Linked DNA regions of Macaca fascicularis. The protein of the gene in region 1 interacts with the protein of each later gene in a pairwise test. Links are inferred from orthologs where the notes say so. Each region holds a gene or a part of one and is shown in the gene's direction. Other genes may lie near its edges. The genes, in order: THAP1 and FAM133A.

Region 1 (14,832 bases):
TTAGTAGCCAGGAAGGAGAATTCAATGCTTGGCTTCAAAGCATCACAGGACTGGCTGACTCCCTTGTCAGTCAGATGCAACTGGCTGATGCAACTGATGACTTTAGGTTGAAGCCAATGCTCATTTACCATTTCGAAAATCCTATTGGTCTTAAGAACGATGGTAAATCTACTCTGCCTGTGCTCAACAAATGGAATAATAAAGCTTGGATGACAGCACATCTGTTTACAGCATGGTTCACTGAATATTTTAAGTCCACTGTTACACCTACTGCTCAGAAAAACAGATTCCTTTCAAAATAATACTGCTCATTGACAATGCACCTGGTCACCCAAGAGCTCTAATGGAGATGTACAAGGAGATGAATGTTGTTTTCATGCCTGTAACACAACATCCATTCTGCAGCCCCATAAATCAAGGAGTATTTTGACTTTCAAGTTTTATTACCTAAGAAATACATTTTGTAAGGCTATAGCTGCCATGGATAGTGATTCCTCTGATGGATCTGGGCAAAGTCAGTTGAAAACCTTCTGGAAAGGATTCATTATTCTAGATGCCCTGAAGAACATCAATAATTCATAGGAGGAAAAATATCAACATTAACAGGAGTTTGGAAGAAATTGATTCCAGCCCTCATGAATGGCTTTGAGTTGTTTAAGACTTCGGTGGAAGAAGTCACTGCAGATGTGATAGAAACAGCAAGAGAACTAGAATTAAAACTGGATCCTGAAGATGTGACTGAGTTGCTGCAATTTCATGATAAAACTTGAACAGATGAGCAGTTGCTTCTTATAAATGAGGAAATAAAGTAGTTTCTGAAGATGGAATCTACTTCTGGTAAAGATGCTGTGAACATTGTTGAAATGACAAGGGATTTAGAATATTTTGAATATTACATAAACCTAGTTGATAAAGCAGTGGCAGGGTTTGAGAGGATTAACTCCAATTCTTAAAGAGTTCTACTGTGACCAAAATGCTATTAAACAGCATTACTTGCTACAGAGAAATACTTAATGAAAGGAAGAGTCAATCGATGCAGCAAACTGCATTGCTGTCTCATTTTAAGAACTTGCCACAGCCACCTCAACCTTCAGCAACCACCACCATGATCAGTCAGCAGCCATCAACATCAAAGCAAGACTCTCCATCAGCAAAAAGATCACCATTTGCTGAAGGCTCAGGGGATCATTAGCTTTTTTTTTTTTTTTTTTTTTTTTTTTTTTTTTTTTTTTTTAGCAATACATATCTATGTGTGTATGTGTATAAAATTTAGAGATGGGATCTCACTGTCATGATCATAGCTCACTGCAGCCTCAGACTCCTGGACTCAAGGGATCCTCCTTGCCTCAGCCTCCCAAGTAGCTGGAACTATAGGCATGCACCACCATACCCGACTAATTAAAAACAATTTTTTTAGAAACAGGGTCTCACTATGCTGTCCAGGCTGCCTTGAGTCCCTGCCTCAGCTTCCTAAGCCCTGACACCCAGCTCGTGGTAACTGTTGGTTTGCTGTTGCTCAGGCTGGAGTACAAAGGCATGACCACAGCTCACTGCAGCCTCAACCTTCTGGGTTCAAGGGATCCACTCAACTCAGTCTCCCAAGTATCTGGGACTACAGATGTGTGCCAACACGCCTGGCTAATTTTTGTATTTTTTGTAGAGACAGGGTCTCACTGTGTTGCCCAGGCTGGTCTTGAATACTTGGGCTCACGTGATCCACCTGCCTCGGCCTCCCAAAGTACTGGGATTACAGGCGTGAACCACTGCGCCAGGCCATTAAGCCACATCTTAAGGGTGGACAGGTCAGGGATGGGCATTTCAAGTCAAGAAAACAGCCTATTTAAAGAAACCACAAAAGAGCCTGCCCTCTAAGACATGAAGCTGGAACAGAGGTAAAGACAAGTGGAGGGAGATGATGGTGGAAGAGAAGTACCTGGTCCTAAAGAGCTTTATAACTCACCATAAGAAGTTTGGATTTTATTCAGTACAGCAGGTAGCCTTGCAAAGATACGAGCAGGGGCATGGCAGGCATGCACAATCCTTCTATGGAAGATAGAATGGAGAGAGGTAAAACTGGAGACTAGGATAGTTAAGAGGTTGCTGCAAGGTTAAGACCATGAGAGCTTGGTCAAGAACAGTGAGGAAGCAAGGCGCCGTGGCTCATACCTGTAGTCCCAGGACTTTGGGAGGCCCTGGCTGACCGATAGCTTAAACCCAGGAGTTTGAGACCAGCCTGGGCAACATAGTGAGACCTCATCTCTATTAAACATAATAATAAAAATAATTAAAGAACAGTGAGGGTTGGGCGCGGTGGCTCACGCCTCTAATCCCAACACTTTGGGAGGCCGAGGCAGGCGTATCACCTGAGGTCAGGAGTTCAAGACCAGCCTGGCCAACATGGTGAAACCCCGTCTCTATAAAAATACAAAAATTAGCCGGGCATGTTGGCAGGTGCCTGTGATCCCAGCTACTCAGGAGGCTGAGGCGGGAGAATTGCTTGAACCCGGGAGGCAGAGGTTACAGTGAACTGAGATCGTGCCTTTTCACTCCAGCCTGGGCGACAGAGCGACACTCCCTCTCAAAAAGAAAAAAAAAAGAAAAAAAGAACAGTGAGGAGACATGCAGAGGGATGGATTTAAGAGGCATTTATTTATTTAGTCTATAAAATTAACCTGGTCATCAAAGGATTTTATGGGTGACAAAAACTAATCCAAGATGACTCCAAGGTTTCTGGTTTAGGCAACTGTTGAACAGATAATTCACAGATGATAATCCCAAAGGCAGAACGGATATACAAAGGAAATAAAACATGAGAGAATTATGGTATTTGGTTCAGTTTAAGGAGCAGGGTGTTTAGGAGTTACAGGAGGCCAGAAGATGGAACCCTGGGGAAACACCAACATTTAAAGGGGCAGGAAAGGTAGAGAATAAGGGCGAAAGGATTACTCAACATTTTGCTCTCCAGGTTTGCCTGGCTCAGATCTATATAAAGAAAAGGAGCAGGGAATGAAGTAAAACTGTTACAGGAAAGGGGTCCCAATCCAGACCCCAAGGCAAGGTTCTTGGATCTCATGCAAGACAGAATTCAGGGCGAGTCCACAGTGCACAGCAAAAGCAAGTTTATTAAGAATGTAAAGTGGTGAAAGTACAGCTACTCCACAGACAGAGTGTTCCCGAAAGAAAGAGAAGGAACGCATCCACCCTAAGTACAACACTTAGTTTATATATAGAATAAAAAAAGATCATGGGGACATGTGCTGTGCTACAAGGGTTTGTGATAAAGGATTAATTACTATATTATGTAAGAATCGATATCTTTATTTATTTATGAGACAGAGTCTTACTCTTGTCGCCCAGGCTGGAGTGCAGTGGTGCAAGGACGGCTCACTGCAACCTCCGCCTTCCCAGATTCAAGCGATTCTCCTGCCTCAGCCTCCAGAGTAGCTGAGATTCGAGGCATGTGCCAACCACACCCGGTTAATTTTTGTATTTTTAGTAGAGACGGGTTTCACCATGTTAGCCAGGCTAGTCTTGAACTCCTGACCTCAAGTGATCTGCCCGCCTCAGCCTTCCAAAGTGCTCGGATTACAGGCGTGAGGCACTGTGCCCAGTCCATTATTATCTTTAAAGCAAAATTAGGAATGCTTCTGTTCTCAAAATATCGAGATACCTGGACACTTCGAAGTCTGGGTCTGTTTAGTAAACATTATCAATCTGTTGCCTTAATGGTATACATCTAGAGGCTAGGAACACCTAACTTTCCGGGAATGCAGCCCAGCAAGTCCCAGCCTCATTTTCCTAGCCCTCACTCAACACAGAGTCGCTCTATTTCGAACCCCTCTGACATATTCTCTCTCAGATGTGAAAACTGCTGCAGCAGCTCCCTATTTGCAACACCGCACATGGAAATCACAGCAATGGACAGCCCTTCACAAAAGCTTCTGGGGAGGGAGGGCCTGGTGGCTCAACTCCCGTAATCCCAACCCACTGGGAGGTCGAGATAGGTGGATCCCTTCAGCTCGAGTTCTAGACTGGCCTGGGCAACGTGGGGAGATCCTGCCTCTATTTTTTTAAAAAATTACATATATATATATACACACACACGTATATATGCATACATATATACATATATATAATGCTTCTGCGTTGGCAATTCAGATGATTTGGCGAGTGTGTCTTTTTTCATTGCTAAAAACCTGTCACGTTGGCTCTCAGAGACTTGTGATGCCTGAAGACACAGGTAATGGGAAAAAGATCAGCATTCTGGGAAAAGGTTCCACAATTTTATTAATCATACACCATCTGTGTCCGCCCTTTTAGAGAAATGGGCGCAATCAGACAACGACCTCGGCTTTACACCTGTTCTCCATGAGGCCCTAGTTGTTTCCTACTGTAAGCCGCCCCAGAAAAGCTCCGCATCAATTAACCCACGGGAACAGCCCGGGCTGGAGGATGCCCCTGGAATCCAGCCTCCCGCCGCGCCTCCTCCCCCGCAAGCTGTTTCTTCCTGCCTACCGGAAGTTCAGGGCTCCGCCCACTTCCGCAACTCTGAAGCCACCGCCGGAAACACCTGGCCTCAGCCAATAGTTAGCTTCCCAGGAATCGTTACCTCTGACCTCGGGGCTAATCAGAGACAGTGGGACGCACCCCTCGCGAGAGGTGAGGTTGAAGCTGCCTCCGCCATCTTGGAGATGGGAGACGGGCGATGGCTGTGGTCCTTCTGCTAATGCAAACAACAAAACGGGCACACTAGTCACCCCCGAGGGAGGCCACCATCACTGTAACTGTTGGCCAAAGCTACAAAAGAGCGAGGGTGTCCAACCGAGCGCGGCGACACTGAAAGCAGCTTCCCCTGCCTTCTGCGGCGGCAGAAGTGAAGTGCCTGAAGACCGGAAGGATGGTGCAGTCCTGCTCCGCCTACGGCTGCAAGAACCGCTACGACAAGGACAAGCCCGTTTCTTTCCACAAGTGAGGACCCTGCGCGCCTCGCGGGGCCGGTCTTAGCCAGGGTGGGGGCGCGCGACCGGCGGGGCCGGGGGCGGAGCCAGGCGCGTGTCCGCGCGAGGGGCGGGTGGGGTCTGGGGCCGGCCGCGCGAGGCGTTTCCCGCCGCGTCCTGCTGGGAACCGTCGCCCGATCGCGCGTTCTCGGCGCGCGTCTCCGCGGCGGTTGTTTCTTGCGCTCTCGGAACAGGTCCTCGTTGCAGGCTTCGCTCCAGGCCTCGGTTGACGAGTTTGGAGCCCGCGGGCGATGCCTATGGTGGCGCGGGTTTTGCCGCCACCAGGGTCACGAGCAGCCAGGTGTTGTAATAACGTCTTAGGGGTAAATTTGAAATATAAACAAAGGCCTTCAAACGAAGAAATCACTATTTTTTCCCTTGTCGTGGATGGGAGGCCAGCATCGTAGCAATTAAGGGTTTTTTGGCTGGGAAATCCTGGAGAATTTTTGCCCCAAATCTCTAGGAACTAAGCTTTAAGGACCCTGAGTTTTGAAGAAAGCTTCAGGTACTGCCAAGATAAATCGTTATCTTTTCAGCACACAATAATGATAATATGGATAGTTACAACATGGATCATAATAAAATGACTCACACTGATCTTTATTTATTACGGCATTACCTGTGCATAGAGGAAGCTCTTTCGAAAGAAACTGCCCCACAGCTTTCAGAGCTGTCTTATCCAATAGGTAGCACAGTTAAGAGTGCTAGGATCAAAAATATTCTCTTGAAAATAGGAAAAAAAGTGCAAAGTTGCAATTATGATAATCAAACGCTTGTAAAATGTGACATAACATTCAGCTGAATTTGTTTACAAATTTTAATTACATTTATGTTAAGTTTTCTTTGTAAGAATTCCTGACAACTATATGCAGATGATAGCTAAGAAATCAGATCCAGGGGTAAACTATACAAATTAGTCATAGGTAATTAGCTAATTATCTTTTATAATTAGGTAATTACAAAAGCAAAATGTTAAATATCCTTTCAATTTTTTTATTTTGGTGTGGAGCCATCTATGTTTACTAGGGGAGTGTCCATGCATTTTTTAAGTGTTTGATATCATGTGAGATGGAACCTATAGAAATAAGAGAGTGTAGAACATAGGTCTCCAGAGTAATGATGTTACCCCTTGGCGAAGGGGGTAGAACACTTACAGGATTCAGTTCAGGATATCCTAATATTGTCTCTTAATTTAATTGGAATTTCTGTAAACATGTTCTTTCGAAATGTAGGAAAAGGTCAGGTGATGGTAACAGGATTACATGTGCAGCTCCCCACCCACATTTCTGATGGCATGGCAGAAGGAATCTAAAATTATGGAAAATGTTTCACTGGCACTGGAAACAAGTTTAAGGAGGGTATTCACACGTCAGAAATAACTGTGTTTTTGGCCAGGCACAGTGGCTCATGCCTGTAATTCTCAGCACTTAGGGAGGCCTAGGTGGGCAGATCACCTGACGTCAGGATTCAAGACCAGCCTGGCCAACATGGCAAAATCCCGTCTCTACTAAAAATACAAAATACAGGCGTACGCCTGTAATCCTAGCTACCTGGGAGGCTGAGGTAGGGGAATCGCTTGAACCTGGGATATGGAGGTTGCAGTGAGCTGAGATCTTGCCCTGCACTCCAGCTTGGGTAACAGAGCCAGACTCCATGTCAAAAAAAAAAAAAAAAAGAGAAATAACTGTTTCTGCTAGGTGTTAAACACATACGGATTGAATCAAAAGAAGAGCTAACCTGCATCTTATCCCTTATCTAAAAGAGCAGGTTTAGGGAGAGTAGATGGGAAAGATTTTAACAGAATCTCACAAACAGCTGTAAATTTGTGGTCCTTGTGCCAGGAGGCCCTAGGTACTGACTGAATTTTAGCAGCAAATGCTACCATAGTTTATGCTTACAGAGCCAGGAGGCCATAGGTACGGAATTTTACCAGCAAATGCCACCCTAGTTTATACGTATAGAGGCCATTTCCAGCTGAGATTTTCTTCTTCTCCTTTTGAGATGGAGTCTTGCTCTGTCACCAGGCTGGAGTGCAGTGGCACGATCTCGACTCACTGCAACCTCTGCCTCCCCGGTTCAAGCGATTCTCCTGCCTCAGCCTTCTGAGTAGCTGGGACTACAGGCGCGCAACACCACGCCCAGCTAATTTTTTTTTTTTTTTTTTTTTGAGACGGAGTCTGGCTCTGTCGCCCGGGCTAGAGTGCAGTGGCCGGATCTCAGCTCACTGCAAGCTCCGCCCCCCGGGTTTACGCCATTCTCCTGCCTCAGCCTCCCGAGTAGCTGGGACTACAGGCGCCCGCCGCCTCGCCCGGCTAGTTTTTTGTATTTTTTAGTAGAGACGGGGTTTCACCGTGTTCGCCAGGATGGTCTCGATCTCCTGACCTCATGATCCGCCCGTCTCGGCCTCCCAAAGTGCTGGGATTACAGTTGTGATTACAGGCCACGCCCAGCCCCAGCTGAGATTTTCTAGGAGTACCACTTATCCCACCGTCTGCATAGTGGCAGCAGAGAGTGCTATGTTGTACAAAGAAAAGGGACTGTCATAAAGATCTCTTACTAGCAGAGTCAGGCTCTAGCATATTGTACATGGAAGAGAAAACTGTGAAACGTAAATTCAAAACCCCCTTCCTTTGTTTTTTTTTCTAATCCCCCCAGTTTACCAAATCCTTAATTTGGAAGAGTAAAACCACAATAAATTTAAACTCTCACTATCCCCGTTTACCTGGGCCTAATGGACATCCCAGTTGATTAGAAAATAAATACTTTTCTTTCATTATTATCTGCCTTTAATTCAAATTTACCCTGTTCGTATTTGTCCAGACTGATGCTAAGAGAACTAGAAGCCCCTCTTTCCCAGTACATAGATACAAATGTGCAATGTTTGTCTTCCTGTGCAGCACACAGAAAATTACTGGTAAAAATAGAATACAGTTTTTTTCTTTTTGAGACAGGGTATGGCTCTGTCACTCAGACTGGAGTGCAGTGGAACCATCTCAGCTCACTGCAGCCGTGACCTCCCAGGCTCGAGGAATCCTCCCACCTCAGCCTCAGCCTCCCAAGTACCTGGGCACATACCACTATACCCAGCTAATTTTTGTATTTTTTGTAGAGACAGGGTTTTGCCGTGTTGCCCAAGCTAGTCTTCAACCTCCTGGACTTAAGCAGTCTCTTGGACCTTGGCCTCCCAAGTGCTGGGATTACAGACATGAGCCACGGGCACATTTATTCTATAGTATGTATTTTACTTGAATCTTTTGGTGAACTCACTATAAAAAGTTAAACATTAATAAATGAGGGCCCAGCGCAGTGGCTCACGCCTGTAATTCCAGCACTGTGGGAGGCCAAGGTGGGCGGATCACGAGGTCAAGAGATCGAATCCATCCTGGCCAACATGGTGAAAGCCCGTCTCTACTAAAAGTACAAAACTTAGCTGGGCATGGTAGCATATGTGGTGGCAGGCGCCTGTAGTCCCAGCTACTTGGGAGGCTGAGGCAGGAGAATCACTTGAACCCAGGAGGTGGAGGTGCAGTGAGCCAAGATTGCGCCACTGCACTCCAGCCTAACAACAGAGCAAGACTGTGTCTCAAAAAAAATTTTTTTTAATTAATAAATGAGATAGATAACTAGAGCTAATCTTTAATCCAGTATGATAATACCATTGTAACATCTTTAATACCAATGTAAGATCTTTCCTACGTTGGAAAGTTTGGGTGCCTTTATTTTAAAAAAATCAGCACAGATAATTGAATTATGCCTTCTTCTTAGGTTTCCTCTTACTCGACCCAGTCTTTGTAAAGAATGGGAGGCAGCTGTCAGAAGAAAAAACTTTAAACCCACCAAGTATAGCAGTATTTGTTCAGAGCACTTTACTCCAGACTGCTTTAAGAGAGAGTGCAACAACAAGTTACTGAAAGAGAATGCTGTGCCCACAATATTTCTTTGTACTGAGCCACATGACAAGGTAATATGCGTTTTAAAATATTGGGTTGCTTTCTGTTTATCAAACTGATATGTTCATTGATTAAAATGTGGAAAACTCAGTTAAAGAGAATAAATGTGCCTGGAACTTTGTGTAGTTAACAGTGATACACTTCTGAAAACACAAAATGCGGTTTATTTAAGATAAATATCCTCACACTAAGAAACTTAGTCCAGCCCTTGTAACTTACTTAAAAATCACTCTGTACTGCCAGTTATATATTGATAAGTTTTGGGTTTTCTTTATCAGTGACAGTTTAGTTTCAAAGCATTTTTTTCTCCTCAGTGCTTAGTATTTAATTGGATCTGATTATTCATTTTGTCTCTTTCTTGCACCGTCCCTTTATTGCAGGTAGAAAAGTTTATTCAAACTGAAACTGTTTTCTCATTTTGGAATGTTTCTGTACCACTGATTCACCACAAAAGTCTAATATTTCTTAAATTCCACAGAATATTTATTTATTTATTTATTTATTTATTTATTTATTTATTTTTGGGAGACAGAGTCTCTCTGTCACCCAGGCTGGAGTGCAGTGACATGATCTTGGCTCACTGCAACCTCCGCCTCCTGGTTTCAAACAATTCTCTTGCCTCAGCCTCCCGAGTAGCTGGGATTATAGGCATACACCACCACACCCGGCTAATTTTTGTATTTTTAGTAGAGACGGGGTTTCGCCATGTTTGGCCAGGCTGGTTTCAAACTCCTGACCTCAGGTGATCCGCCCACCTCTTCCTCCCAAAGTGCTAGGATTACAGGCGTGAGCCACTACCCCTGGTCAGTCCACAAATTGTTTTAAACTGTTATTTTTAGTTACTAAATTCAAACATACTTTGTACTTTTGTTTTAGAAAGAAGATCTGGAGCCACAGGAACAGCTTCCTCCACCACCTTTACCGCCTCCTGTTTCCCAGGTTGATGCTGCTATTGGATTACTAATGCCACCTCTTCAGACCCCTGTTAATCTCTCAGTTTTCTGTGACCACAACTATACTGTGGAGGATACAATGCATCAGCGGAAAAGGATTCATCAGCTAGAACAGCAAGTTGAAAAACTCAGAAAGAAGCTCAAGACCGCACAGCAGCGATGCAGAAGGCAAGAACGGCAGCTTGAAAAATTAAAGGAGGTTGTTCACTTCCAGAAAGAGAAAGACGACGTATCAGAAAGAGGTTATGTGATTCTACCAAATGACTACTTTGAAATAGTTGAAGTACCAGCATAAAAAAATGAAATGCATATTGATTTCTAATGGGGCAATACCACATATCCTTCTCTAGCCTATAAAGGAGTTTCATTTAAAAAAATAACACTTGATTACATATATAAAAACAGTTCAGAATATTTTTTTAAAAAAATTCGATATATACTGTAAAAGTATAAATTTTTTTGTTTGTAATTTCAGGTTTTTTACATTTTAACAAAATATTTTAAAAGTTATAAACTAACGTCAGACCTCTAATGTAAGTTGGTTTCAAGACTGGGGATTTGGGTTTTTTCTTTTTTAGTATTTATAGAAATAATGTAAAAATAAAAAGTAAAGAGAATGAGAACAGTGTGGTAAAAGGGTGACTTCAGTTTAAAACTTAAAATTAGTACTGTTTTATTGAGAGAACTTAGTTATATTTTAAATCAGAAGTATGGGTCAGATCATGGGACATAACTTCTCAGAATATATATATATATGTACATATTCTCATATGTAAAGTCACATGGTTCATTTATGTTTCTGAATCAGTTATCAAAGATAAATTGGCAAGTCAGTACTTAAAAAGAAAAAAAGATTTGATTGTCTTCACAGCAGAAAAGAGTCATTGCGTATCTGATCAATATCAATAACTTTAGATTCTAAGAGTGGATTTTTTTTTTTAATGGGCTCCTATTTTTCCCCCTACTGTCTAGCATTATAAAATTAGAAGTGTATTTTCAGTGGAAGAAACATTCTTCAATAAATAAAGTAAGGCATTGTCATCAATGAAGTAATTAAAACTGGGGCCTGATCTATGATATGCTTTTTTCTTTCATTACCCTCTAGCTGAAGGACATCCAGTTCCCCAGCTGTAGTTATGTATCTGCCTTCAATGTCTCTGACAAATGTGCTGTGTTAGTAGAGTTTGATTTGTATCATATGATAATCTTGCACTTGACTGAGTTGGGGCAAGGCTTCACATAAAAAATGATTTCTTCACTTTTAACACAAGTTAGAAATTATATCCCATTTACTTAAATGAGTGATTTATATTCAGAACAACCTACTATGTAGTGTTTATTTTACTGAATGTGGAGATTTAAACACTGAGGTTTCTGTTCAAACTGTGAGTTCTGTTCTATATTTGTGAGAAATTTTACATATATTGGAAATGAAAATATGTTCTGAGTAAACAAATATTACTATAGGAGTTATTTAGATTTAGAATAACTGTTCCAATGATAATTATTACTTTTATATTTCAAAGTACACTAAGATAGTTGAAGAGTAATAGACCCTTTAAGACAGTATTAAAGGTGTGAAACAATGGTGTTCAAAGTGTCTTTTGTAGAACTGGTTTTCATTGTAGTTCACTGCCATGCTGCCAGTGGATAGCACTGTGATTCATGGATATTTGATGTTTTATGAACCAGTATCTCAAAAATAGAAATAATGATTGGAAGATTACTTGAAGTTGGGCTGGGCACCATGGCTCACGCCTGTAATCCCAGCACTTTGGGAGGCCGAGGCAGATGGATCACAAGGTCAGGAGTTCGAGACCAGCCTGGCCAATATGGTGAAACCCCATCTCTGCTAAAAATACAAAAACTAGCAGGGCATGGTGGCGAGCGCCTATAGTCCCAGCTACTTGGGAGGCTGAGGCAGGAGAGTTGCTTGAACCTGGGAGGTGGATGTTGCAGTGAGCTGAGATGGCACCACTGTACTCCAGCCTGGGCAATACAGCGAGACCCCATCTCAAAAAAAAAAAATTACTTGAAGTTACATAGTCTGATAACATCATTTAGAACTAATGCTGATCAACCAGAAGACTTTTACAGATTATTCATGGAACTCATAACTGTTTTTAGAGGCTACAAAGTATTCAAGTAGTTTGGTTTTATATGTTGTCTTTCTAGCAATTCCTGGAAGTACTCAGGAATATTTAGATTTATTCCTGAATACTTTGAAAAGTATATACCTTTGGCTGGGCACGGTGGCTCATGCCTGTTATCCCAGCAATTTGGGAGGCCGAGGCGGGCAGATCACCTGAGGTCAGGAGCTCGAGACCAGCCTGACCAACATGGAGAAACCCTGTCTCTACTAAAAATACAAAATTAGTGGTGGCGCATGCCTGTAATCCCAGCTACTTGGGAGGCTGAGGCAGGAGAATCATTTGAACCTGGGAGGCGGAGGTTGCCGTGAGTGAGGGCGGCGCCATTGCACTCCAGCCTGGGCAACAAGAGCAAAACTCCGTCTCAAAAAAAGAAAAAAAAGAAAAAAAAGAAAAGTATATACCTTCAATCTAAGTACTCTTCTACATAAAAGATAAATCCTATGTGTGTGTCCCAGAATGAAGAATCCAGGTTAGATTATAAAAATGGAAATCATAATTACTTAGCATATTAGCATTATTATTTAACCTCAAGCTACTTTCTTTTCATAACAGACATAAATCCCCATTTGGAGAGAACTAAGCAAGCAGCATGTATGCCAACTGCTTTCATTTAAATAATCTATCATAGTAGTTAAACAGAAGTTTGAGGCGCAGGTACTTATTTCTGAATTGACTATTGTATTGTTTATAACATTGCCAAGAAAAGAAGGTCTGCCAAGAAAAGTAGGTTCTGTTCAGGCATAGTGAAACAGTCTGACACAAACAGGGACAAGGACTCAATTTTTTTTTTTTTTTTTTTTTTGAGAAGGAGTCTCGTTCTTGTTGCCCAGGCTGGAGTGCAATGGTGCAATCTGGGCTCACTGCAACCTCTACCTCCCGGGTTCAGGGGATTCTCCTGCCTCAGCCTCCCGAGTAGCTGGGATTACAGGCATGCACCACCATGCCCAGCTAATTTTGTATTTTTAGTAGAGACGGGGTTTCTCCATGCTGGCCAAGCTGGTCTTGAACTCCCGACCTCAGGTGATCTGCCTGCCTTGGCCTCCCAAAGTGTTGGGAATACCAAGCGTGAGCCAGCACGCCCAGCCGGTCTCAATCTTTTAATACTGCCTTATAATACAAATATAAAGGTCACTTGAATTGCTGGTTGGCTTGAATTATCACATTCCAATTGAAGTTTTAAGTTTTTAACAACTAATTTAAATGTTTACTAATTGTATACGAGTTATGTGTACTAAAAATAATTCTGTTGTTGCAGTGAGAACATAGCAAAACTTTGTACTTAGAAATCCAAGTACATGAGGGGATTTTTTTTCTTTCAGTTGTAATTTATGTGATCCCTTTCTTAGAATTATAATAATTGTGATGGCAAATGAAAGTTTCACGTGATATGGGCTTTTTAGCTTGCATTAATATTCCCTGATCATCTTTTAGTGCTAAAAAAAAATACATGTGTGGCCAGGTGCGGTGTCTCACACCTGTAATCCCAGCACTTTGGCAGGCAGAGGTGGGCAGATCACCTGAGGTCAGGAGTTTGAGACCAGCCTGGCCAATACAGTGAAACTCCGTCTCTACTAAAAATACAAAAATTAGACGGGCGTGGTGGCGTGCGCCTTTAGTCCCAGCTGCTCAAGAAGCTAAGGCAGGAAAATCACTTGAACCTGGGAGGTGGAGGTTGCAGTGAGCCAAGATCATGCCATTGCATTCCAGACTAGGCGACAGAGCCGAGACTCCATCTCAAAAAAAAAAAAAATACATGTGTACACATATCCACCACCTATAGCTTTTAGAAAGTTGATAGTAAACAACGTATTTTAAAATCCATTTGTGTTCCAGAATTTTAAAAAGATAGTCCACCCTGAATAGCATTTAAAGAAAAAGAATAAATTTTCCAGCTGATGGTAAATGGTGTTGCTTGGCATTATGATTTTATATAGTCTTGTGTTTTAAAGTACAGTCACTCAAATGAAAGAAAAATACTGAAGAGCAACAACAGTGCTTTGCAAATAAGCAATACTATTATACTTAAAAGTAATAGAAAAATTTGCTGAAGGTAATGTTCTCTTATAATTCTATGTCTTTTTAAACCTTGGATATAGCTTTATTCTACTGAGATTTTTCTGAATGATAAATATTTTTTAAATTAAAAATCTGTTGAATTTTTATTTGTTCTCTTTAAATTCATAGTATTTTATGTCTTGAGATTATAAAAAATTTATTTTTAAAATATCCTAAGGGATACAAATAAACTTCATTGTTTTAGTTTTTAGTAAAACCGTAGAATACAAACAATAATTTAATAGAAAAATGACTTCCAAAGTGTATTGGCAAGAAAAAAATTTTTTTAAATAACCATTTAAAGTCTCTGCCAATTGTCCTAAGGGAATATAGCAAATGAAGAAATGATAAGGAAAGTTTACTAAATCTCTATAAGGACATTGAGTCTGTAGCATTTAGGCTACAACCCATTTCTCCCTAACCAAACCCCCTATCCCAACTCGGTGCTATAGAAGCTCTACTCTGAAGCTCCACTCAATCTTCTTGGATATGGTCAAGAAGATCGTACTCCCTTAACTCCCAATCAAGGGCTATGGTATCTTTCAGGGAGGGGCTGGTTGCCAGTATTTTCATGTCCCTCTAGCTTTGTGTTGCAGAGACTAAATTCCAGGAGGGTCCAGCCAAGAGGTCAGGGACTCCCTACAACCAACTTCCACTCTAGGTGGAGGGTCTACCATAGGTATGGCAGGCCAAGACAGAGGGCCTTGATCACCTTCTCCAAGAT
Region 2 (16,932 bases), on another chromosome or scaffold:
TCTGAACCATTAATCCCATTACTGGATATATACCCAAAGGATTATAAATCATTCTACTATAAAGACACATGCACACGTATGTTTATTGCAGCACCGTTCACAATAGCAAATACTTGGAACCAACCCAAATGCCCATCAGAGTGGATAAAGCAGTGTGGCACATAAACACCATGGAATACTATGCAGCCATAAAAAAGGATGAGTTCACATCCTTTGCAGGGACACTGATGAAGCTTGAAACCATCATTCTCAGCAAACTAACACAGGAACAGAAAACCAAACAGCACATGTTCTCACTCATAAGTGGGAGTTGAACGATGAGAACACACGGACACAGGGAGGGGAACATTACACACCAGGACATGTCAAGAGGTGGAGGACTAGGGGAGAGATAGCATTAGGAGAAATTCCTAATGTAGACGATGGGTTAATGGGTGCAAAAAACCACCATGGCACGTGTATACTTACGTAACAAACCTGCACATTCTGCACATGTATCCCAGAACTTAAAGTGTAATTAAAGAAAGAATATAAATATAAAAAATGTACAATTATTACACATCAATTATAAATCAAATACAACTAAAAAGAGTGAAGATTTACATGCACTGATGTAGATAGTACTTCAAAATCTAAGAAATGAAATACGAAAAGTATAAAATAGTAGTGATGTTTAAAGACATATACATAGATATGTTTTCATATAAAATGTCAAATTTCAAGTAAAGTTTTAAATTATTTTGTACTTTTCAAAATATCTTCCAAATTTTCTATAGTGAACACATTTTATAATCAGAAGATGTAATAAAACAATATAATAGCTTTTAGTGAAGCACAATGCAAAGAAAATATGCTTAATCATCTTCAAACTAAGGTGATTAAACATAATAATTTAAAAATGACAAATATAATTGAAGAGTAAAAGATGAATGAAAAATCACTTGCAAACAGTAACTTTTAATGACACTACTATGGGAAGCAATAGTCTAAGTATTATTTTATTTTCTTTATAAATTTGTGTCATGCAAAATTCAAAACTATAAATAATCTAGGAGAATTTATGTCAATGGGTTTCTGAAAATTCTTAGCTCTATGTTGCTTTATTCAAGAGGTAGTTTGTAATGTACCATTGCATAATAAATAAGTCTATTTGTATAGCAAAATAATGCATGTACACCTGGTACAAGATGACTTAAACCCTTCCTACTTCTGAGCTGGAGGCGAACATATACTTGGATTCATTCTTCAAGTGTATTTTTCCTCAAGTAAATATTAGCTTTACTGAAAATTTCTGATAATTTTTACTGTTGCTCTCTAATAGCTATATGATAAAAATATATCATGAGGACTAAACTACATAGCAATAAATAAAGATTTCCTAGAGAATTTGCTGTGTTCTTCATCTCAAAGAAAGGTATACTTCTAAATACTATGTCTTTTAATACTAAAACATTTCACTTTTGATATTTTGAAAATATAATCTATAAAAAACACAAAATGTAAAATTTTAAGTAATGCATAATTGTATTGAAATATTATACTGCAGGTTATATACTCTGCTTCTTCAAATCATGTTGTTTTCTGAGTTCAGATGTTCAAAGTATTTTCCAGATCTCGAAAACTCAGCTTTTCCGTCTTATAAATAGTTGGATCAAGATCTGTCAGCCTTCCAGTTTGCTGTCATCCTAGGTTCCAACAGACTCTTCTGTTTAGTGTAAGTCTCTTTGCTGAATTAGAAAAGAATGTAACTTAAATTCCAGCAATCACAAAGTTACAAATGAACCTGACTTATTTTCTTCATGGGTTCCACCTTCAGGCACTGTGTTTCAAGAGAACTAAAGGAAATAAAGCACTAAAGGAAATAAAGCACTGAAGGAAATAAAGAGACTTTGGGAACTTCTTCAGTTTGGGTTGGAGTGTCCGATTTAATATGTGATTACCTTACTTTTAGAGGGATGTTTTTTATTTTCCTGTGATCTATGTGACATTCTTTACAGACCTCATTTTCTGAATATTCAAAGAGGAAGGGATCAGGAAATCTCATTTTAACATCAGCTCCTATCTTCTTCAACACCTTAATTTTGAAATATTTTGTTAAAATAAAATATAAATTATAACTTCAAAAAGTCAGCACTTGCTCAGTTCTTTAAGGAGTTTCTTCCTAAATCATTTTTCTCCTTTCCCATCTTTGCCCCTCCTTTTGTTTCTCAGCTTTACCAGTTACCTTAGAATCCAGATTCTCCTTATTCAAAACCTCATCACTGTCAGGACATTCACTTTGTAATCTATAGGCGTAATCCCACATCTTCATACATGTGTTGGTGGGCTCAAACACCTCATAAAGTGAAGATATATACCTTTTCCCAGAGCCTGCAATTCCTGATAAAAAAAAAAAAAAATCAGCTTCTATCTTATTACATCACCCTGAAGCTTTTTAACGGCAGATGAACTGGCATTGCCAGATAGTGTGGCACCTCCAGGCTTGGAGCACTCCAGGCTGCAGAACGTGACGTTTGCATCCTTTGACCGTGTTGTCACTTTCTTCGCTCACAGCTCAGGTTCCTTCCATTACCTTTTCAGTAGTCTCTGCTGCTGCTGCTTAGAGATGTCTCTTGTTATCTGAGTCTGCCACATTAAACAAAAAAGACCCAACATTTAGAATGACTAGGTGGATGCTCAGAGCCCAACTCAGGAGGGAAATGAGCTCATTAACAAGGAGGTGGTCTGGACTGCAAAGGAAGATAAAGAGGGGGTGGAGGAGCAGTCTGGAGGAGGGGGTGACCTTTTCCTTGGGCTGGGGGCAGCTGGCCTCGGCTTTGAGTTACAGCAACAAGAAACAGCAAACCATAAGGAAGGTGCAGAAGATGACTCATTGAACACTTCTCACTATCTTCTCTTCCCCTTAGCTTAGTTCCCAGCGGGCTGCTCCTTCTAACATCATTCATTGTCTGAGCCAGTGTGATGGGCAAACATGCAGCCCAATACGTGTGCCAGCCCACGAGTTTTCTGGCTCTACCCATCTTCCTTAACATGCAGAGGTGGCTGAAGCATCTACTACTGGCTGATTGCATTTCCGGTGTCCCATTTTACTGATGCATAAATCTTTGGCTCTCTGAAACCCTGCCCCGTCCCTAGATCTAACTTTAAAGTTAAAAAGAGCAGTAATAAAACCTTATCAAGAGATAAACTGGGAAAAAATACACTAATCCACAAAAGAGCGTATCTTAGTATAGTGTGCTTCTGAGTGATTTTTATCTTCTGCATTTCTGCTTCTATTTTGCAAATATTCTATAATAACATGTGTTCCTTTAATATGGAGAACACAGAAAGGGAAGGTGTTAAATACTTTGCTAAGAGTTCTAAGATGCAAAAAGTATATTGCATCCTATGCAGAAGTTTTAAGGGCTCTGCTCTTTGTGATGTCTGGCAAGTACAGTTTTTATCCAATTTGGGTACCTATGCATCAGGAGCCAGGTACACTATATTTGTTACATTCTTCATTTTAGTTTTGGCATATAAGTGAATCTGCCATATCCATTCTTCATGGATGCAAAAATCTCAAAAATAAAATAGGCACTGTAAAAAAAAAAAATGCAGTGGGCTAGACACAGTGGCTCATGTCTGTAATCCCAGTACTTTGGGAGGCTGAGGTGGGCAGATCACCTGAAGTCGGGAGTTCAAGACCAGCCTGACCAACGCGGAGGTACTCCGTCTCTACTAAAAATACAAAATTAGCTGGGTGTGGTGGCACATGCCTGTAATCCCAGTTACTTGGGAGGCTGAGGCAGGAGAATCACTTGAACCCAGGAGGCGGAGGTTGCACTCCACCCTGGGCAATAAGAGTGAAACTCTGTCTCAAAACAAACAAACAAAACAAAAACAAAACAAAACAAAACAAAAAACGCTGTGGTATTGCTAGAAACAATAATTTGCTTCCTCATGTTGTGGAAAATCATAAAGTAAACCTAACTATCTGAACACGTGGTTGGTTAAATATGACATCGGTTTTAATATTTTTACATTATAGAAATTGGGGAGTGACTATTGTTAAGCAGAATAAAAGATGCTAAACTATATATGGTGTGGTATGGAAGACTATTATAGATCATTTTATGCCTAGAGAGCCAGAAATTCTAAAATCCTGTCTTACTTTGGCTACAGTTTCCTATGAGGTTTTCAAGGAAAACATATGTGGACCCAGAAATGACAAATGTGAAATAAGACACCACTTTATTATATGTTGTGCTTTTCCCTTTATGTCCAGTGCAAACTCCCTGGTAAACTGAGTTTAAGTGTGAGGGAACCTCCTCACACTTATCTCAAAGCAAAATCTTAGGATCTCTCTGTGATCAGCTGCATGGTGAAGAGATGAAAGCATGGTGTCACCTGTAAGAAAAAATGAGTCAAGGTAGTGTGACCTTCCATAGCTTGTCTTACATATAAGTGGCGTTGTGAGTGAGGTACTCCTGCTCTCCCTCCCCTCTTCTCTCCAGTTCCCTTTGCCCCCTCCATTCCTTCTGCTACCCACCTTCCTCCCTTTCCCTTTTTCACCTTTCTTCTCCATCCCTCCTTTTTCCCTCCTCCCTTACCCACCTTCCTCCCTTTCCCTTTTTCACCTCTCTCTTCTTTCTCCTCCACCCCTCCTTTCTCCCTCCTCCCTTACCCATCCCCACCCTCTTCTACCTTTCCCTTCCTTTCCCTCCATGCCCTGTTCCTTCTCCTTGTCCCATTGCTCTCCAAAATCTTGAATGAGTGTCCTCCAACAGAAAAGCTAAGATGTGGGAAATACATCAGAATGTTAATAATAGTTATCTTTTTATTAAATTGTCCCCTTCCTTGTGATCCTCTACTTTTTTCTATGATAAGCATCCCTCTTTTATAGTCAGGAGAAAAGGCTAGATTTTCATAGTATAACACACTTTAATATTTATTTATTTTAAGTTGCAATAAAAGAACATGAAAAACAGTATCAAATGAAGTGATCATTTTCAGTGAAAGGGAAGGTAGAACATAATACAAAGAAAACATGGTATCTTCAGTTTACAATTACACAATATAAGATGAAGAAACTTTTTAAAAAATACTATGTCATATTAACACCTCAGTGGTAAACAGTAACATCATTATCATTAAATTTATAGGCCACTATATGTCACATACACAAGGTCTCAGTTGAATCAAATGTGGTCTTGACATTCTTAAATGTATGCTAATCTTTTTCAAGCAGTCAAACTTCAAAATACACTGTTTTAGTTACTATAAGTACTGGATTTCTATAGCAAACTAATGAAGGCACAGCTAGTGCAAGCAGATTTAAACGCTTAGTCTTCTGGGCTGGAAAAAAGAAAAAAATAAAGCACTTGCATTGGTACTTCATGAACTTTTTTTTTTCAAGCAAATATTTGTTTCAGTTAACAATTGTGACAGTTTCACAGCTACAGTCTAACAGAAACATGACCAAAGGACATCACAAAAATCAACACTGTAGCACCAAACTAACATGCTTTAGATAATTGACCACAGCTTACATATTTTGAAGAATATTATACTACAACAGTCTAGATAGAATAAACTGGCGCTTAGACACTTTTTAGGACAATTTTTAAAATACAGACTACCAAGAAACCACAAAAACATGACTATAAGGAATAAGAGTGTTCAGGTTACAGGTCAGGGTTTTACTTTTTTCAAGGCTGTATGAATCTGCTTCACTTCTTGAGATTTTAAGATTCTTGAAAGATCTTTCAGATTGACTTATTTTCTGTATTTCCTGTTTCCATAATGTTTGCCAAATTGATAGTAGGTACCATTGACTTCTCCAGTATAGTAATAGATTGATTTCAGGATGACATTATCATGTAAAATCTGCCCAATTTCAAAATCCTCATCCAGGATAGCATCTTCTCGTGGTTCCAGCTTCCCAATCATAGGAATCTCAGGAGGACTAAAGAAATTGAAGAATGATGCATTAGGAACCACTCTTGGCTGGATTTCAATTTCTCCAGTAGCAGTTGTGCGACTCTGAGTAGTTGTCACAGTAACATCTTTTCCTCTTCTCCAGTCTATCTTGCAGCCTTTGCAATCTTCAATTTCCCATCCCCAAGAAAAGAAGGGATCATTGTGATCTGGTTTTGACTTTATTATATATGTCTTCACCAGCACCTCATTTCTGAAGTATGGATTGGGTAGAAAATGAAATTCAAAGGTGTAACTTACAGGCTGGCCAGGTTTTGAGAACTTCAGGCTAACATCCGACAAGAACTTCAGAATGGGCTCATCATACTTCTGAATCATAGGCCCGAGCTTGTCAACATTCTTTAAAACAATCAGCCAATAGTCAGGAATGCCTTTAGGGTCTTCTCTTTTAGGCTTTCCCCTCCTAGCTCTTTTAAGATCTACACTGTCCTGAAGCCTTTCCTCAGGAACTCTTTTATGAGCCTCTCTTACTGCAGCCCTTGCCTTAGCCTCTGTTGCTTTAGGCTGTTCTTTATCATCTGCCTTTACCTGGGGGGCTTCTTTAGGATCTTCTTTTACTTCAGGGGTTGCCTCCATACAGTCTGCTTTAGAATCTGCTTTTTCTTCAGCCTTTATCTCAGGGATTTCTTTAGGAACTTCCTTTTCTTCATCTTTTACCTCAGGAATTTCTTTAGGAACTTCCTTCTCTTCAGCTTTCACCTCTGGGTTTTCTTTAGGGGTTTCTTCTTCCTCACCCTCTAAGGGAGGCATTTCACTAGGGGTGTTATCCTGCACCTCCTCATCACTGCTGAACTCCTCATCCTCTGAATTCCATTCACATTCTTCTTCTGTAGGCTCGTATTCTGCATTGATGATTTGAAACCGCCTATCATATAGAGGCTTGTTGAGTTCAGCATATTTTCTTTCAAGATCATGAATTGCTTTTAAGAACAGGGTGTCTACCTTGTCACATTCTTCTTGAATGTTTCTAAGCGCTTGCACACGATTTCTAACTGCCTGAGGCAGCCTATCCACGAAATTTGTTCCCAAGGGGGCCCGCCGCGCCCTGCTGGAAGGCTCAGGTACCCTCTTCTTTCTATATAAGCGGCTGCGGCTGCTAGTGCTGCCGCTGCTGCTGCTGCTGCCGCTGCCGCTGCTGCTGCTGCTGCTGCCGCTACTGCTGCTGCCGCTGCTGCTGCCACTAGTGCTGCTGCTAGAGCTACTGCTGTCAGATTCTTCCCCAGAATCACTAGTCGAGCTAGCCATCTCCTCTTCGGCAACCCCATGGGCGACGGGTTCCGAGACCATTTTAAAATCTGCTTCTGCCATCTTGCAAGCCTGAAAAACTCTACCGCGGAGACCGCGCGACCAGAGATGGGCAGAAAATGACTCACGGATGCTTGAGTGGCGGCGGCGGAGGCCCGGGCTGCGGAGGTGGCAGCGGCGATGGCAGCAGCGGCGCAGAGCGGAGCTGGAGCTGGGGATGCAGAGGCCGGCGCTGAGGTGGCAGCGGCAGTGGAGGCCTGGGCGACAGCGGTGGCGGCAAGGCCTCTCCCGGCTGCAGCTACACAGTGCCGAGATGTACCGCAGCCGAATGGCGCAGTATGAGACCCCGAGATCTCTTCTCGTTTTAGATCGCGAGCCCCCTCCCCTCGCAGTCAGACCTCCCGTTAATTTCGTTCCCAGTGTGCCTTTAGTTCGCTCCTCATTTGCTGGTCCACCTTAATTGACAAACCGTACGCCCAACGAACGGCCAAACGCCACTACTCCTGGCTCCGCCCACCTTCCCAGACGCTGCTCGCCGGCTGAGGTGCGACCCCCTGGAAGGTGTCCCCGAGCCCCCCAAAAAGTCTATATTTATAGTTTTATAATTAAAAGAGGAAAAAAAAGCGTAGACATGAGGTAAAAATACCAGCCATAGTTCCTAACAAGGGCAGAAGAGGCGTGTCTTCCTTCTCCCATCCGCCCATCCTGAATTCCCGTTTAGTTTGTCACGGGTCTCTTGACAAAAATCTGTAAAAGAAAAAAAAAAAAATTGAATGAAAATGGTCCAAATGGCGTCATTGGGTAGTGTGACTGTGGACGATTTAAAAACAAAACGATTTTCTCTAAATATTCTATGAGCAGTATTTTTACACTGGATAAAAAAGGGGAGAGTCGGTTATTGGCAGAGGGGGGAGGGACTAGACAGCAGGCGTATTGCATTCCACGAAGCTGATTTAATAAGTGCTGTCTGTGATGTTTGGCAAGCCTGGTTTATATCCATCTACAAGGTTTGCGAACCCATGTTGCCGTGAGTCAGTTACACCATTTTTATTATATTTCTCTTTTTAGGCTGGCATATTATATACCCCAACCTTGCTGCTAACTTGCCACGTAGCCCTTCTCAATGCTTGCAACAACCTTGTAGATAAAACAAAGAGTGTATTAAATGTTAGGTAGTATTGTTAAAAAGCAAATGATTTGCGTTATACTTTTGTGCAGCAGGTTTCAATTCCAAGAACAGTGGGATGGGAGGGGGAATTTGTGCTAATGAATGTGCATCTTCTGTCAGTGTATGCGATGTCATCTGCCACCAATTTCCTTCTAATGTTGTAAAATTCTAGCCATACTATAGTATGATTTACAAGTCCAGTAATATGTGAATAAACTTTTGCAAAATGAAGTTTAAAAACGGGTATTTGTTATTTTTATTTACAGGATTTTTTTTTTCTGCTACAGAACAACTACCTTGGTACAATAAAAAAGACGAGTATTTACTTTTCATTGAAAGGTAAGGATCATATTTAGCACATTTTAAAGAATGACAAAAATTACTCATCTCCATCTGAATAAAAGTTTACAGGATGCAGTCATTTAGAGATTTATTTTAGATAATAATCTTGATAATTCTATGGAAACAGGAAAATCCACAGAGGTAATTTGGCATACTAATGTAGACAATAGCCTACTTAACCACATTAACTATCTTAACCTGGTCATAGAATACAAGTTGTAAATTAAAATATGAAATATGATAAATTATTCATTTCAAATGAGGAACTGTATTAAAGTTAGATTAATCTTTATAGAATTTGTGCTTTGTCATGTAGTCACGTTTTTAAAAGTTATGAAATGCTTTTCTGTCTCATAAATGCATTTACTTTTATTGCATATCTCTAATTGTCAAAGTCTGTGAACATTGCAAAGATAAAACCTCAATACAGAAAATTCCAACAGTAGTAAAAACACACAATCTTAACCACCAAATGATAAGAATTACTAGCATTTTGATGCACTTCCTTCTAGAAATTTCCTTGTGCATATACATACCTGCCTATTTATGTATACTGCTTTATCTATGTGATACCATATTATGTTTTGTAGTCTTTTCATTTAATTTATCAGTTACTAATGGCTATATTTTCATGGCAAATGATCAACATCTTATTTTTAAATAAGTGCATATTCCATGGAAATAATTGCCTTAATTTATTTGAACAGATTCCTCTTATAGGGTGGCTATTTCTATACCATCTCTCCCCTTATATACATACTATTTTCCTGCTATAATAAAAGTGTCCCTGGATACCTAAAGCATATATTTCTATGCACTTCTGAAAATTGGTCATAAGATAAATTCCTAGAAATGAATGGCCTGGGAATGATCATTTCATATTATGGAATTATTATTGTATACATATTGCCAAACTCTCTGCAGAATGATTATCACAATTTACAGTTCCAACAGTGCATAAAGGTTCATTTTTTTTGTCATTCAGCTAATATATTTTTGTGCCTGTCGTATGCTGGGCAAATGTGGTAGAGAATTGTAGTATAATGGTGAATGAAACTTACTAAGTGCATATCCTTTCGATGAATAATTTTAATCAAAGCATATGTTATAGAAACAATGATTTACATCAATGGTGTTATACCATAAATATTGTTCTGAGACTCACTATTTCTTTTTAAATTATGGAGATTTTACAAAAAGTATGCTCTTATGTTTTAAACTTTGTAGCATCAGGAATTAGTATTTTAGAGTGAGTCATGAGGTAGGGATCCAGATTTTTAAAATACTTATTTTTATTAGCTAGCTAATTCTTCTAGTACCATTTATTTGGTAATCTTTCTATCTCCTGCTTACTTGAAATGCTACTTTGATCACATTAAATAAATTGCTTGGGTCTGTTTCTAAATTATTTTCTGATCCATTAGTTGCAAACAACTAATGAGTCGGTGTTAAGATAACTTTACATTTTGTGAAAATGATATGTGTTCATTGATAAAGTCAGACAATACATTGAAATACAAAGAAGAAATTAAAAGTAACTCAAAATAAAACTGAGAAGTAATCACTACTTACATTTACATTTGTAATCAACATCTCCAAATTAATTTATCAATATTAGTATTTGTATTTCTTAGATTAGTGGTAAGATTGTGTTTTCATATGTTTATGTTTATTTGAGAACTGTCTATTCATATTTTTTGTTTTCTACTGAATTAAGCAAGAAGTTAATCAATGGTGAAATCCTAAAGGTAAAATGATTTTGGCCTTGACTTACTTAAGACAACTATGATTTCTTCAGGAAATAATGCATGATATTGGGCAAATGTGACTAAATTTCATATTAAAATTGGTTGGGTTTTTTTTGGGGGGATGCTTGGGGGTTTTTTTGGATGCTTTTCAAGGATTACGGATAACTACTTAACCACTCACACTGATCCTGGAAAAGTTTGGAATGGAACATGGAGATGAAAAATAGAAAAAAGCTTACAAAAACATCATATAAAAATAATGTATTAATCAACAATTGTGATTTTCAATTTGGAATTATTTTTTCCTAGATATAGGCAATGAAAATGTTGAAAGTAGATGATTTTTTCTAATCACAATTCTCTACTTTAATTGTGTATCCATAAGTATCTTGTAACACACTTTTATTTTTGTAGCTTTTTTTTGGTTGATTAGTTTATTTAATTTTATGTAGTAGGTATCTAAAATAAAATAAGCTTTTTCTTCATAATCAATTTAATTGCTGCATTATATCCTATTTGTTCTACTGTGAAATGTACATATTAGTTTTATCATATCATATACTTATTTTTCTTAATAAGGTTATATATAAATTATTTGCATAGTGATATGTTCTTTGTTCAATTACTAGATGATTTTTTTGTGGGAGGGCGGCTAAATGTTAATGCTTCTACATGAGATGATACATAACACAGAATCTGATAGTATACTCAGACTGAACATAGTACATTAACATCTGTTGATACCTCCCTTAATATGAATATACACACAATCCCTTCCACCACCCACTCCTGCCACACAAACACACAAAGTGTATAATGACACGTGTAGCAGCATTATCTTTTTTTGTAGGTATCTAAGAAGCGAAGCATTGCAAGTTCATTTATTTTTGAATGACTCTTCCTCCTGTTCTTCTTGGACAAGTTTTATCTGAATATACAAGTTAATTCTTTTTAAAAAACCATTTTATTGATGTATAATAGGCACACAACAAATGTGTCTATCTGTGAAAGTATCACCACAGACAAAATAATGAAAATTGTATCATCCCTGAAAGTTTCCTCATATGCCTTTGAATCCCTCCTCTTGTCCCTAGACAATAGCTAATCTGTTTTCTGTTCCTATAGATGAATTTGCATTTTCTAAAATTTTATATAAGTGGAATAATGTAGTATGTTCCTCTTTTTGCCTGTCTTTGCAGAATTATTTTGAAATTTACCCATGTGGTTGTGTGTATCAGGAGTTTACTTTTCCTGTTTACTGCCGAGTAATTATTCATTACTTGGCAATACTATGATTTGTTGATGGGCATTTTTGTTGTTTTGAGTTCTGGGCTACTACAAATAAGCCTGCTATGATCATTTGTATATAAGTTTTGTATGGACATATGTTTTAATTTCTTTTAGCAAAATACATAGGAGTGGAATGACTAGATCACATGGTAGGTGTATGTTTCACTTTTTAAGAAATTACCTATTTTCCAAAGTGGTTGTTTTGCATTTCCACCAACAGTGCTAACATTTGATATGGGCAGTGTTTTAAAAGTTAGCCATTCTAATAAGTATTCAGTAGTATTTCATTGTGATCTTAATTTATATTTCTTTGAGAGTTCTTTATATACTCTGGATGCAAGTTCTTTGTCAGTTATAACTTCTGCAAATATTTTCTCTCAGACTGCATATTTTCTTTGAATTCTCTTAAGGGTGTCTTTTACTGTTTTTAAAGAGGAAACATTAGTAATTTTTATATTGATACATCATACATCATATTTTGGGGCACATGTGATTTTAATACATGAATACAATGTGTAATGGTCAAATCAAGGTAATTGGGATAAGAAGTTTGCAATTTTGATGAAGTACAATTTATCTTGTTTTTCTTCTATGGAACATACTTTGGGTGTCATCTCTTAGAAATCTTTGCTTAACCCAAAGTCACAATTATTTTCTTCCTTTTTTTTTTAAGTTTTATACTTTTAGGTTTTGCATTTAAGTGTGATACATTTTTGCGAAAAGTACAAGGTATGGATTGAAGGTTTATTTCTTTTGATGTAGATATACAGTTTTTCCAGCACTGTTTGTTGAATAGACTGTCTTTTCACCACTGACTTGCCTTTGCACATTTGTCAAAAATTAGCTGTCCTTGTATATGTGGGTCTGTGTTGGACTCTCTAATCTGTTCCTTTGTGTACTGATTTTAATGACACAATCGGTAGTTATCCATTTGTTAGATACATTTGAGAAAGAATGAGAACAAAATTGTGTGATAACAGAATTTCATTACAATGGAGACAGTCACAGGAGCTGGATCTTCATCCTTGACCTTTCACTTCTGCTCCCAACTATGTGAGATAGAGGGTCAGATAACAGCAGTAAAAACCTAGAACAGAAATAACAACAAAAAAAACATAAATGTTCTTCTATTTTGTGGAGTTGCCAGTGTGTAGATGTCTACAGCCCAGCCACAAGAATGGTAGTTAGCATTATTCAGGAGCACAAATAATGCCCTGTTTTTCTCACATCTGATAAAGAGAGACCTACTTGCTAAAATGGAAATATTAAGTAGAAAGTATATTCAAGCTGTTAATAAATTATGGTTCAAAAAAGAATAATAATAAAACATTGGTTGTTATGATGTTGCTATTATTAATAGTAGTAAATAAAACATTTGCTGTTTTATAACATTTTAAACGATAGCAGTGGTTTTCAAACAAAAATATTTCATTTTATACTTATTCTTATAATATGGATATACTCAAATGAACAGAAAATGGTATGTTGTTATAGATTTTTATTTTTTAAGGAACCATTTCTGAATTGCATTTCTAGCACTATACCCTTAACTGCATGGCGTTTAAAAGGGAAGTTAAAATTAATGCAATGTAAGGTAAGGAAAATTATTTCCCAATTTGGATATTTAACATAGCGCTATTTTTTTAAAGAAAATTTAATTGTCATGTAAAAATTACATATATTTTTGCCATATAACATGATGTTTTGGTATATGTATACATTATTGAATGACTAAATCAAGCATTTTAACATATATGTTACCTTAAATACTTATTTTTTTCTGGTGAGAACCCTCAAAATCTCTCTTACCTCCCTCCTGTCTAGCTGAAATGTTGTGTCTTTTTTTTTTTTTTTTTTTTTTCGCTTTGTCGCCCAGGCTGGAGTGCAGTTTGCCATCTCGGCTTGCGGCAACCTCCACCTCCCGGGTTCAAGTGATTCTCCTGCCTCAGCCTCCCGAGTAGCTGGGACTACAGGTGCATACCACCACACCTGGCTAATTTTTCTTTTCTTTTCCTTTTTTTTTTTTTTTTTAAGTAGAGATGAGGTTTCACCATATTAGCCAGGATGGTCTCCATCTCCTGATCTCATGATCCACCCGCCTTGGTCTCCCAAATTGCTGGGATTACAGGCATGAGCCACTGTGCCAGGCCATGTTGTGTCTTTTGAACAGTAGCTCCTCAAACCCCCAACTCCCAATCGTCTGGTAACCACCATTTTACTCTTTGTTTCTATGAATGTGACATTTTTATGCTCCACATGTAAGTGAGATCACGTGGTATTTGTCTTTCTGTGCCTGGCTTATTTCACTTAGCATATTGTTCTCCAGGTTTATGTATGTTGCCACAAATGACAAGATTTCCCTTTTTAAATTCTGATCAATACTTCATTGTGTATATATACAATATTTTCTTTATCCATTTATCAATTGATGGACACTTAGGTTTATTCCATATCTTGGCTATTGTACATAATGCTGCAATGAAAATGGGAGTACAGATATCTCTTCAATGTATTGATTTCATATCCTTTGGATATATACTCAGTACTGGGATTACTAGATCATATGGTAGTTCCATTCTTAAGGTAGTTTTGAGGAATGTCCATACTGTTTTCCATAATGGCTATACTAATTCACCTTACCAGCAACAGTTTACAAGGGTTAGCTTTTCTCCACATTCTCACCAACACTTAACTTTTGTCTTTTTGATAATAGCTATCCTAACAGGCGTGAGATGATATCTCATTATGGTTTCAATTTGCGTTTACCTGATTAGTGATGTCAAATGTTTTTTCATATACCTATTGGCCATTTGTATGCCTTTTGAAAAACCTCTCTTCAGATCTTTTGCCCATTTTTTAAATTATATTTTTTTAAATTACTGAGTTGTTTGATGAGTTCCTTATACATTTTGAATATTTAACCCCTTATCATATGTTTGGTTTGCAAATATATTCTGCCATTCCATATGTTGCCTCTTTACTCATTTACTTCCTTTATTTTAGGAACATTTTTAGTTTGATGTGATGCCTTTCGTCTATTTTTGCTTTTGTTGCTAATGCTAGTTTTGAATGTACAAACAGCATGTATTTTTCAAAATGTAAAACCACATCACAGAAGAATATTTTTACAAGGGTAATGAAGATTTTTTTGCCTGTAGTACTCATCTGAAGAATTTCTATCCTAAAATTCAAGTAAAGCAGACCTTTTTATTGCAAGTTTGAAAGTATTTTATTTAATTTTACTAAAAAGGAAGGAAAAATCCAGACTTTGAAAAATGAAAAATGCTTACTATAGATAGATATATCTTATGTGCATATGATATATATGTATATATCTTATATGATATCTTAGATCTATCTATCTATCTCTCTATCTATGCAATGGCTATTTCCCCATTTTGCAATTTATTTGGACAAACTAGAAGAAGCCCAAAGTGACATTTTCTGCCGAATTTTTTCCAGAATATCCAAATATATTTAATTAATTTCATTAGGTACCTCCTCTGAGAAAAAAAATAGTTCTCCATTCTGGTAGATGTTTCTATGAAAGTATATGTTTAGTATGTAGTATAGACTAATGCTTCAGCAAATCTGCTGTTGATACTTTCAAGGGAATGATAGCTAACACTTCACAATTCTCTAAGAAGTGAGTAAACAAACAAGATGTCAATGCACTAATTGTTGCTTTTGGTTAAAAAATCTGCTTCTCAGAGAAAGAAGAAATAGAGGCATGCATTCTCTAGATTCATTACTTTGATTTAGCAACTCTCTTAAAACAGGTGTAAACAAAATTTTAAAATGATAATATTGACCACGTTTGTCTGTCTTCTCTTATAACCAGCATTTGTCTATCTGAAAGAATGAGTATTTTTGTTTGTTTGTTTAGAGGTAACTGGATACCTTAATTAAAACTGTTTCATTATTTACATCATGAGAATGTGTTATAGCCTTCTTTGTAAGAAAGATTAAATATGACATGAAAAGAAAATTATGTAAATGTTAGACTAGTTGACCAATCTGCTTGTAGCAGCCCCCAAACTGCTCCTTAGCCTCTCAGATATGCTATACATAGTTCTTAGAAAGGTCTTTCTGAAAACACTTATATCCTTCCTCTAATCCTAAACTTTTAGTGATACTCCACTGTCTGGAATCAAACCAGTGTATAAGTACAAGCTGTGTCCTTTACCCTCTAGTGACCGTGGGCAAATTTCTTCACTCTCTATGCCTCAATTTCCTCATCTGTAGAATGGGGATAATAATAGTGCCCACCTCACAGAGCAATGGTGAGCTTGAAATGACATAGTACATGTAAAATTCTTATAACATGGTGCATGTCCAAACAGTTTTTACTAAACTTATCTTCTCCAGGAATAGTTACCCAATGGAACATAGTTCTTTAACTCTGTCTTTCCTTCAGAGCTTATTTGCTTGGGGTGTATTACATTTTTGTGTGCTTTATGATAAACATTATAACAGAGCCACATACATCATTTGTTGCGTGTACACACACATGTTCTTTTCCTATGTATATTTTAAATTTACCTAGGAGACGGACCAAGATATTTTTTTATTTATAATCCTCTGTCCTCTCTCAGAGAATTGCTCTGCACAAGAATACATTTAGTACTGTACTAATTAACTTCTTAAACAAATGAACTGGCTTCCTTGCAGCAGTACCAATTTTTTTTTTTTTTTTTTTTGAGACAAACTTTTGCTCTTGTTGCCTATGCTGGAGTGCAATAGTGTGATTTCGGCTCACTGCAACCTCCACCTCCCGGGTTCAAGCCATTCTCCTGCCTCAGCCTCCCAAGTAGCTGGGATTACAGGCATTCACCACCACGCCCAGCTAATTTTTGTATTTTTGATAGAAATGGGGATTAACCCTGTTGGTCAGTTGGTCCCGAACTCCTGACTTCCAGTGATTCCCCTGCCTCGGCCTCCCAAAGTGCTGGGATTACAGGAGTGAGCCACCACGTTCAGCCAGCAGTACCATTTTTTACTTGCTGTTCAAATAAAATTTGTTTTAGCCTTTAATTGCATTCTAATTTAACAATTGTCTCTTAATTGTGCCTGATTTACTGATGCATAATTGTTATGCAACAAATTACATTAGTTTACTAAATTTTCAGGTTTTAAAGAATTGGTGTTTTGCCAACCAACTTC

The links.
Region 2: the proteins of THAP1 (region 1) and FAM133A interact in binary tests that used the Homo sapiens proteins (3 or more experiments, as listed by UniProt). The two-hybrid records come from large-scale screens. The link is inferred for Macaca fascicularis from reciprocal best matches to the Homo sapiens genes THAP1 and FAM133A.

Annotation. Positions count from the first base shown.
Region 1 is NC_088382.1:46,371,715-46,386,546, reverse strand, and holds THAP1 (THAP domain-containing protein 1), read left to right. Parts: upstream 1-4,661; 5' UTR 4,662-4,897; coding exon 4,898-4,968; intron 4,969-5,069; exon of another isoform or gene 5,070-5,248; coding exon of another isoform or gene 5,249-5,298; intron 5,299-8,762; coding exon 8,763-8,958; intron 8,959-9,823; coding exon 9,824-10,195; 3' UTR 10,196-11,486; downstream 11,487-14,832. UniProt on the Homo sapiens protein: DNA-binding transcription regulator that regulates endothelial cell proliferation and G1/S cell-cycle progression.
Region 2 is NC_088395.1:100,190,840-100,207,771, forward strand, and holds the start of FAM133A (protein FAM133A), read left to right. Parts: upstream 1-7,284; 5' UTR 7,285-7,765; intron 7,766-7,992; exon of another isoform or gene 7,993-8,248; intron 8,249-8,655; 5' UTR 8,656-8,728; intron 8,729-16,932. Other genes in the region: NAP1L3 (nucleosome assembly protein 1-like 3), read right to left, coding at 5,755-7,284.